Callithrix jacchus: one gene and its partner. The protein of the gene in region 1 binds, or shares a complex with, the protein of each later gene. Links are inferred from orthologs where the notes say so. Each region holds a gene or a part of one and is shown on either strand. Other genes may lie near its edges. The genes, in order: PRKAA2 and PRKAG1.

Region 1 (4,408 bases):
CTCTATTGGCATGCAATGCTATAAATGTTTGACTAATCCTTAATTACTTATCCCCAAATAGCAATATTTGTTTTAAAGTTTTTATTTCATTGGCAAATAAAAATATTTAGTATGTATATGTTTTGAAATACATATATTGTGGAATGGCTGTAAGTCAAGCTAATTAACACACATATTATATACTAATCGTTTTGTGTATGTGGTGAGAAGCGAAGAAACTTTAATCACTGAAAGAACAACATTAAAGAACGGACAACAACATTAAAGGAAGGAAGGAAGGGAGGGAAGGAAGGGTAGGAAAGAAGGAAGTGAGGCAGAGATAATCACTTTATTACCAAATTCCTTGCCAGGCTTTTCTTTTTTGGGGGAGGGGGGAGGTCAGTCTCTTAACACACGTGTGCCTAGGCGTCATGCTTCTAATTTCCTCTTATCATTCTTTTCACTTCTATATCACATTTATTCTTCCTTTAATATGTGACCTTGTATTGCCCTCGCCCTTCACAATTCCAATGTCACTCACGTATTTTACTTTCTGGGGGCAGAATATTGTTTACCTTTCCAGGCCTTTCCCATTTCCCTCACATGCAGCTACCACATTTCGGTACTATATGTTTATGTAAGCGTGTGGTAAAACTACATATGTATATAAGCATATGCTAAAATACACTAGAGCAAATACCGTGACTGAGGTTTTTTGGAAAACTGTGGGCAAATTAGTTAAAATTGAGAGCTCTGGAGGAGAGGGTCTCTTTCTTCTACAGGACAAAATAATTGGGAATTGCAGAGTAAGTACAGGAGTGCAATTCAAGAGAGCACAGAGCTGTGTGCATTCTCCCTGCGCCGCGACCTGTATCCAAAAGCCGCAGACGAGACTGGAGGAGCTTCCTGCCCTTTGACCAGGGCCCTTCCCGCCGCCTCCCCTCCCGCCTTTTTTCTTTTCCAGCCCCTCGCTCCCCACACCCAAGGCCCGTCTCTCTTCTTCCAGTTCGACTTCCACGTCTTTCCATTCCCTGGGATCGGGCCCCAGTGTTACCCGCCCACCCCCCCATTTTCACTCCCTTCGGTTTTCCTCAAAAAGGGCTCCCGGCCTCCCTCCCGGCCCCGGCCCACCCCCTCGCAGCACCTGCCGCTTCTTCCCCTCACTCGGACCCCGCGCACCTGGCGCGGCCCCTCCCGCACTCCAGCCCAGCGCCCCACGTAGCCGACCCCCGCTGTCGCAGTCTCCGGCTCCGCCGCAGGCGCACCGCGCTCCCTCTCGGCCCCGCCCCGCCGGCCACTCGCCGGGCGCTTCCCACCTGGGCCTGGCTAGCCCAGCGCCCCCTCCCGGGACCTCGCGCCCGCCCCGCGCCCCTCGCGGCTCTGGGCGCGCGGGCCCGTCCTCCCACCCCCCCCGCAGGGCCCGCTGCACTGTGGGTAGGCGGCGGCGGCGGCGCGGAGCGGCAGGCGGCGGAGTGAGGCCGCGCGCGCCGAAGATGGCTGAGAAGCAGAAGCACGACGGGCGGGTGAAGATCGGACACTACGTGCTGGGCGACACGCTAGGCGTCGGCACCTTCGGCAAAGTGAAGAGTTGAGTACGCGCTCTGGCCCGCCGCGCGGTGTTGCGAGGCTCGCGGGAGGCCGGGTGGAGCGGCGGGAGCCCCGGGCCGCGGGCGGGCGCGGGGCTCGGCGGCAGGTGGAGCGGCCCCAACCGCGCGGAGCTGGGGCCCCGGGAGGGCGGCGCGCACCGCCTCGCCCGGGACGGGCGTCCGGGCCCGGCAGAATCCGGAGAAGAGGGCGGGGGTGTGGGCTGAGGACGGGCGTCCTGGGTTCCAGGTCCCGCGCCCATCTGCCTTTCTGGAGGTCGGAGCGAGGCACTTCTGTCTTCTCTGGACCTCGGTGTCCACTTGTCCTCTCAGAGCTGGGTCCGCGAGGCGCCTCCCAGCTCGGAGACCGTAGGTGGAGGGCCGGGGATCACCCGTGCTGCTGAGGACTGAGGCGCCGCTTCGTACCTGGTGCCCTGTTAAGTGCTTTGTATGGGATGTCATTGTATCTTTATAGTGACTTGGTCAGCATGTTGTCCTCACCCTAATGGTGGGAAAACTAGGACCCCTAGAGGTGTAGTAACATGCCCAAGGTCACACAGAAATGGGCAGTGCCAGGGTGAAGTCTAAGATGTCCTCCAATTCTGGTCTTGCTGGGAGGTCCCTGCCATCCCCAGTTTCCTTCTTGTTCCAGGGCTCTCGGTTGGCGGGGGTGACTGCTTAGGGGATGCTCCAGGGCCAGTGGTTGTGAGTTTTTCCGGGGTGGTGTTAAACGCTGGAATGCAGCTGGATTGAATCACAGGTTAATTAGAAAGAGGTCTGAAGGTAGTTGTGTTTGTAAAATGGCTATGGGGAAGACTTCTGGGATAAGGTTCCTTGGTGTTTGGCGGATTGGAGGCTGAGGAGGTCATTCTGCTAAGGTCTGTCTTCATGAAGATAGGATCTCGTTTTGGGTGTAGAAAAACAGGCTGTCTTTGAAATGTTATACTTTACGAGAGTTAAGTAATTAGTAAAAAGGATAGTTAAGTGTTGAACTTTCATTTGTTTTTTTTTTCCCGTTAATTAGTCACATGGGATTTAGTTAACCTGTCCTCTCTCCAGAATAGAGACAGTATATTAAAAATACTCTGTTGCAAATCCAGAATTATAAGTGAAACATTGGCTTTTTTTTTTTACTCTCTCTTTGCTGAAGAAATGCTGGGTAGGCAGTCTGGAAGTTGTATTCTGAGGTCTCTGTTTCCTTGTAAAATTCATGTTTTAATACCAAGTCAAGGCTGTTGAGTAAGTAGAAGAGACTCATTGTTCATTCCTGTGGTAAAGATCAGCTCCTGTTTTCTTGCTCATATTTAATGCCCATTCATTTGTTCAAGAGCACCTGCAACTTGGTAGGCACTGTTCTAGGCAATGAGGATACAGCAAAGAAAAAAGCAGATCTTTTCGTGGAACTTACATTCTAGTAGGGGAAGACAGTAATCAGAATACATGTAAAAGGTGTGTTTAGTTTTATTGAGAAAAAAGAATCAGGGAAGGGAAGGTAGGGAGTGTTGTGAGGTTGGCAGTTTTCAATAAGGTGGTCAGACAAGGTGGTATTTTTGCAAAGAAGTAAAAAGTTTGCAAAATTATTTGCCATCCTGTGAGTGTTATGAAGTCCTGGGTTATTTTTGAAAGACCTTATAAGTCGAGTGGACACTTAGAAGGTGTTTAGGATGAATACAGGACAATCCAGGGATTGGATTAATGCCTGTAATGTTATTTGTCATTTAGTATCATTACTAAGGACTATTGTGTTACAACATTATGCAGTTGCTCAAGCAAACAATGCCTTTGACATTTGGACAGGTACACTCTCAAAGTTATATCACTTAACCCTATGTCCTTTAAAATTGTGTTAAAACTTTTTGCTGGTCTTTTTAAGTTCTTATTTTGTAATATGAAGGTAGAGTAGAATACCCACCAGATCAGTCAGCCCATTGTCAGACAAATCTCTTGTGTATACTTTTGAGCTGTCTCCAAGCACCAGCTTCTTAAGATATCAATGAACAGAAGGAACTTTATGAGAAATCCTTTTCCTGGAGAACCTCTGTCCAGTGAACAACCAGTTGAAGGAGTTTTCGTAACACTGTGCCAGATCCTCTCAAAAGTGATACTGTGGCTTCCTGTCCAAGATTAGGATCAGTACAATTGTTTAATAAAAATTACAGAAACTGCTACAGTCTACAGTTACTCATTTAATTCTTCAAGGGACAGGTGAAACAAAAAGCCATGTTTTTTTTTTTTTTTTTTTTTTTTAGAAAACAACTTTATTGCCCAGGCACAGTGGCTCATGCCTCTTAATTTCAGCACTTTGGGAGGCCGAGGCAGGTGGATCACTTGAGGTCAGGAGTTTGAGACCAGCACATGGTGAAATCCTCTCTGCTAAAAATACAAAAATTAGCTGGATGCAGTGGCAGGTGCCTGTAATCCCAGCTACTGATGAGGCCAAGGCAGGAGGATCGCTTGAACCTGGTAGGCAGAAGTTGCACTGAGCCAAGATTGTGCCACTGTACTCCAGGCTGGGTGACAGAGCAAGACTCTGTGTCAAAAAAAAAAAAAAAAAACCACCCAGAAAGCAGCTTTATTTAGGTATATTTTACATATGAAATTCATCCATTCTAAGTGTACAATTCAATGATTTTTATGAATTTTACAAAATATTGCAACTATCATTATAGATCAGTTTTAGGACATTTGAGAACACCACAGTAAGATTCCTTATACCCATTACAGTTAATCTCTTTCCTGCTCTCAATCCCTTTTGTGTTTTGTGTTTAGAAAACACGAATCTCTTTTCTACCTGTATAAGTTTGCTTTTTCTAGGTACTTCTTCATAAACGTGATCATTCAATATA
Region 2 (4,311 bases), on another chromosome or scaffold:
TCCTCTGACTTCTGCCTCCCAGGCTGCTGGGACTATAGACACACACCACCAAGCCAAGCTACTTTTTGTATTTTTTTTGTAGAGATGGGGTCTCACTATGTTGACCAGGTTGGTCTTGAACTCCTGGGCTCAAGCAATCCGCCCACCTTGGCCTCCCAAAGTTCTGGGATTACAGGCATGAGCCACTGTGCCTGGTCTCCTTTCTAGTCCTTTTTTTTTTTTTCACTGACCATCCTTTCTACTTCTAATAACACAGGGGACCAGACAAATTACCACTGTACTATGTAAGTACAAAATATTAGAGAGACACATGCTACATATGACAAACAGACTCAACAGTTTCTTCCAAACTTCTGATCTACATTTGCAATTATTTGTTTGATAACCACAGATATCACAGAGATTCCTCAAATGCTTCAATATGAAACATTTGTCCCTCTAATCCTATTATTCTCAGTGTGGTTCCCATCTATGTTTTGCACAGCTGTCTTCTTAACATGTATCAGCTAAGCTGGTATGTTAGAAATGCCTCAGATCCATCTCTCATTGCCAACTTCACACCCTTAATTTAGGCTCTTACCTCTCACTTCGGCAACACTGTTTAAACTGGTGTCCTTGCCCCAAAACTATCTGTTCTTCACTTTATCTTTCATGCTTTCACCACATTTGCTCACCAAAGCATCTCAGGTTTGGAAGGTTACTTTCATCTCCAGTAACAAGAAACTTTACTTTCTGAAATAGCTCAGTCCATGTACAGAAAGCTGCTATGAACATTCCTAAAGGACATTCACTAACTTGCTTATAAATCTTCCATAGGTCCCCTATTACAAAACAAAGTTCAATTTTAGCATGGTATGTAATACTTTCAACCTGATCTTAGCCTTCTTTTCCAGTCTTTTCTCCCACTGTGACCAAAATCCAAATCCAGCAACATCAAACCACTGGTTCATTCCTTATTCTCCATATACCCCAATTTCAGTGCCCTTGTTCATACTGTTCTCTCAATTTGTAGTGCTCTCTCCCAGGTCCAAAGTAATTTTTCTCTCAACTATGCTGTCACAGTCCTTTGTCTGCATATTGATGATAGCATTTATTATAGTGTACCTTTAAATAACAGCTATTGCTGGCTGCCCTCAGGCTGAGCATTTTCAAAAGTTGTTGTTGTTTTGGAGACAAGGTCTCACTATGTCACTGAGGCTAGAGTGCAGTGGCATGATCTCAGCTCACTGCAGCCTCCATCTTCCTGGATCAAGATATCCTCCCACCTCAGCCTCCCAAATAGCTGGGGCTACAGGCACACACCACCACCACCATGCCTGAGTAATTTTTGTATTTTTGTTTTTGTCCAGACAGGATTTCATCACTGGTGTAGAACTCCTGAGCTCAGGCATGGTGATTTGGATTACAGGTGTGAGCCACCACACCTGGCCAAGTTTTCTTTTTCTTCTTTTTAATTTCCATCCCAGAACCTAATCCACTACATAAAATGTGAAGGCTAGATTTTCTAAAATCTATGTAAAAATGTTTTGTAAACCATAATACATTTATAAGTAGGTAGACTATGTTATTTTAAATTTAATGAAATTAGACTCCTTATTTTTGTTCAAGATTATCTTAATTAGTCATAAGTGGCTCCCTTGCCTGGCAGACCAACTGCGAATCATTTTACTACTTTGGTCGGTTTTCTCTTTGAAAACCTGAAAGAAACAACCTCTCTATAGGCAGGGAAAGGGTGTGGCAAAGAATTACTCTGGGCATGTCCCAGAATAATTCTTATGAATCACTTATGAATTAGTTATGAAAGTGAACCTGCCGGGCGCGGTGGCTCACGCCTGTTAATCCCAGCACTTTGGGAGGCCGAGGCGGGCAGATCACAAGGTCAAGAGATCGAGACCATCCTGGTCAACGTGGTGAAACCCCATCTCTACTAAAAATACAAAAAATTAGCTAGGCATGGTAGCACGTGCCTGTAATCCTAGCTACTTAGGAGGATGAGGCAGGAGAATTGCCTGAACCCAGGAGGTGGAAGTTGCGAGCCAAGATCACGCCATTACACTCCAGCCTGGGTAACAACAGTGAAATTCCGTCTCAAAAAAAAAAAAGAAAGAAAAAGAAAAAGACTCCTGAGAGTGAGGGTGGGTGCAAACATGTAGCAGACAACCCGCAGCATCTGTGGGAGGGTGACAGGGCCCTGCCACAATTGGTCAATGCCAGCTCGCCAAGAATGAGCTATGCCAAAACTCCCGCTTAGAGTCGCTGAGCGGGTCATGACCTAAACTTATCCAAGGGACACAGTGGCCTCTAACACTGCAAGATTTCCTCTTTCAAGCAAACTCCAATTCTCGGTCTTATTAAGGAAATGTGACTTCACTGGATGCATTACAAAGATCTTCAGATGTCCTTCTGCCAGTCAGACCACGGAGGTCCAGTAGCTACCTTCAAGCGGAGATCCCTCTGGACGTCCCCTGCCTCACCCAGAAAAGCTGGATCACAGCCCTGCCCTCTCAAGCAAACCTCTGAAAGGTCTTGAGGTGCTAAGAGGAAAGGAGGCCCGAGATTGCCACGGCATACGTGGGCTCGCTCCAAGGAGGGAGCCAGGAGTCACCGCCTGCTCGGGCTAAGAGTACCGCGTACGGAAAGGCGGCGGGGGCGCGGCCCAGTCCTAGGAGATGCGCTCAACGAAGAAGTGGAGGGACAGGGTCACGGGATAGGGCAGACACCCGGTTGCTTCTTGTTTGCTAGACTCCAGTGCCAGCCCCTGCCCGGCCCCCCCGGTCTCCTAACAGGGGGTCTTAGGCTCCACAGCGCCCCCGACCGCCCTCCGGCACTCCTCACCGTCTCCATTGCAAGAGGCGCCGGCTTGGTTCTCGCTTTAGGAAGCTCTCTTGGGGCAGGCCCCGCCCCACATCCGGTGCGGCAAGGCCACATCCGTCCACGTCACGGCAGTCGCCAGACTAGGGCGGAAGACGGAGAACCCACCCTTCCGGCGGTGGCTGGCCTCGGTAACCGCCCTCCCCCGGTCCTCGCAGACCGCACGTATCCCGCTGATGGCAAGGGTCATGGGACGGACTCGCTTGTATTTAAAATGTTCTTTTTTTATTTGTTGTTTAAAAACAAACTTGGAAGAAGCAAAATCCAAAACTTGCCCTTTGCCTCTCGCAACATAAATTATGTACAGTTCAGAATGATCGCTGATACAAAACATGCCAAGGACAGGGGCGCTGAGGGTGGAGGGAGAGAGGGCGCTTTAAAAAAGGGAACCATTTCATCCGTTGTTACGAAGGACCAACCTTGCTGTACAGGATACACACAACACAAAATAAAGTTTTCACGGGATTCACACTTGTCAGCGATTTATTTTTTAAAAAGGGGGGAGGGTCCTGGAGGTGAGGGGAGAAGACTGTAAAGGGGAAAACTGAAAATTGAGTATGTGCGAGTGTAAACCAACCCAAAATACAAACATGGGGGGGTGGAGGATTTTGATGCAATTATACAGGCAGGGTACTTAAAAAAAACCGACAACCAAAATTCCAACCTTGTAGCTTGGGTCTGAGTTATAGTTTATATAAAAATTAAAAACTGTATAAGGTTTCTTCACTAAATTCTACAGGACTATCGGATACCTAGCATATGCTTACAAAGTCTGCCCCATCCCCTTTTCCCAATCCCAGGGCCCAAGCCCCAGAGCCTGACTCACAGGAGCCAATCTCCCCATCCCTGTAGCCTAGACCTTCTGCTCTCGGAAAAGGAACATCCAAGGGCTGTGGCTTTGAGGGGAGCAGCCCAGTCTCCCTATTGTCTGATTTAATTACAGCGGTTCCTGTGGGAGTGGGGGGTGTTATTCTCTTAAACATTTGCAGCTTGAAACAGTTGAGGAAGCAGCTTAAATAAAAAAAATCTCCCTACCCCCAACAATCCACAACCCCTCAAATTCAAAACAAAACAAAAACAAACCTAAAATCACAACAGCGACCAAGCTCCCCCTCCAGCAGGCCCGCCCGTCCACCACCACCACCAAGCCCACCCCTACACTCCAGACATCTGATTCTTGAAAATATTAATTACAAAATGCCCTTTGCCCACAGCCCCTAGAAGATAACTGCATATAAGCTTCATCTTCATCCCCATGGTTCCCTACCAGAGAGGGGTTTGGGGCCTCACCCACCCCTTACCTACCCCCACCCGCAGGAAGAGGTTCAACTGCAGCACTAGCTTGGGCAGAAAGGGGAAGGAAAGGGAGGCAGGGAACCCATCACCCTCTGGCTCCCCCTGGGGTCAGCTCTCTTTTGTGCGTTATAACATAGTCCAACT

What was found.
Region 2: the proteins of PRKAA2 (region 1) and PRKAG1 are in contact, whole or in part, in a crystal structure (PDB 6B1U), measured with the Homo sapiens proteins. The link is inferred for Callithrix jacchus from reciprocal best matches to the Homo sapiens genes PRKAA2 and PRKAG1. Residues at the interface, in NP_006243.2 of Homo sapiens: Asp329, Asn330, Ile333, Met334, Ala337, Phe340, Tyr341, Leu342, His366, Pro367, Glu368, Arg369, Met370, Pro371, Pro372, Leu373, Ile374, Asn444, Val446, Thr447, Pro530, Arg531, Leu532, Gly533, Ser534, His535, Thr536, Met537, Asp538, Glu541; in NP_002724.1 of Homo sapiens: His36, Asp40, Leu41, Ile42, Pro43, Thr44, Ser45, Val50, Phe62, Leu64, Val65, Thr66, Gly68, Val69, Arg70, Trp75, Ser77, Lys78, Lys79, Gln80, Phe82, Pro158, Glu159, Ser160, Gly161, Asn162, Lys170, Arg171, Lys174, Phe175.

Annotation. Positions count from the first base shown.
Region 1 is NC_133508.1:93,724,140-93,728,547, forward strand, and holds the start of PRKAA2 (5'-AMP-activated protein kinase catalytic subunit alpha-2), read left to right. Parts: upstream 1-1,411; 5' UTR 1,412-1,472; coding exon 1,473-1,566; intron 1,567-4,408. UniProt on the Homo sapiens protein: Catalytic subunit of AMP-activated protein kinase (AMPK), an energy sensor protein kinase that plays a key role in regulating cellular energy metabolism.
Region 2 is NC_133510.1:70,538,763-70,543,073, reverse strand, and holds the start of PRKAG1 (5'-AMP-activated protein kinase subunit gamma-1), read right to left. Parts: upstream 2,911-4,311; 5' UTR 2,845-2,910; coding exon 2,836-2,844; intron 2,785-2,835; exon of another isoform or gene 2,357-2,784; intron 1-2,356. UniProt on the Homo sapiens protein: AMP/ATP-binding subunit of AMP-activated protein kinase (AMPK), an energy sensor protein kinase that plays a key role in regulating cellular energy metabolism.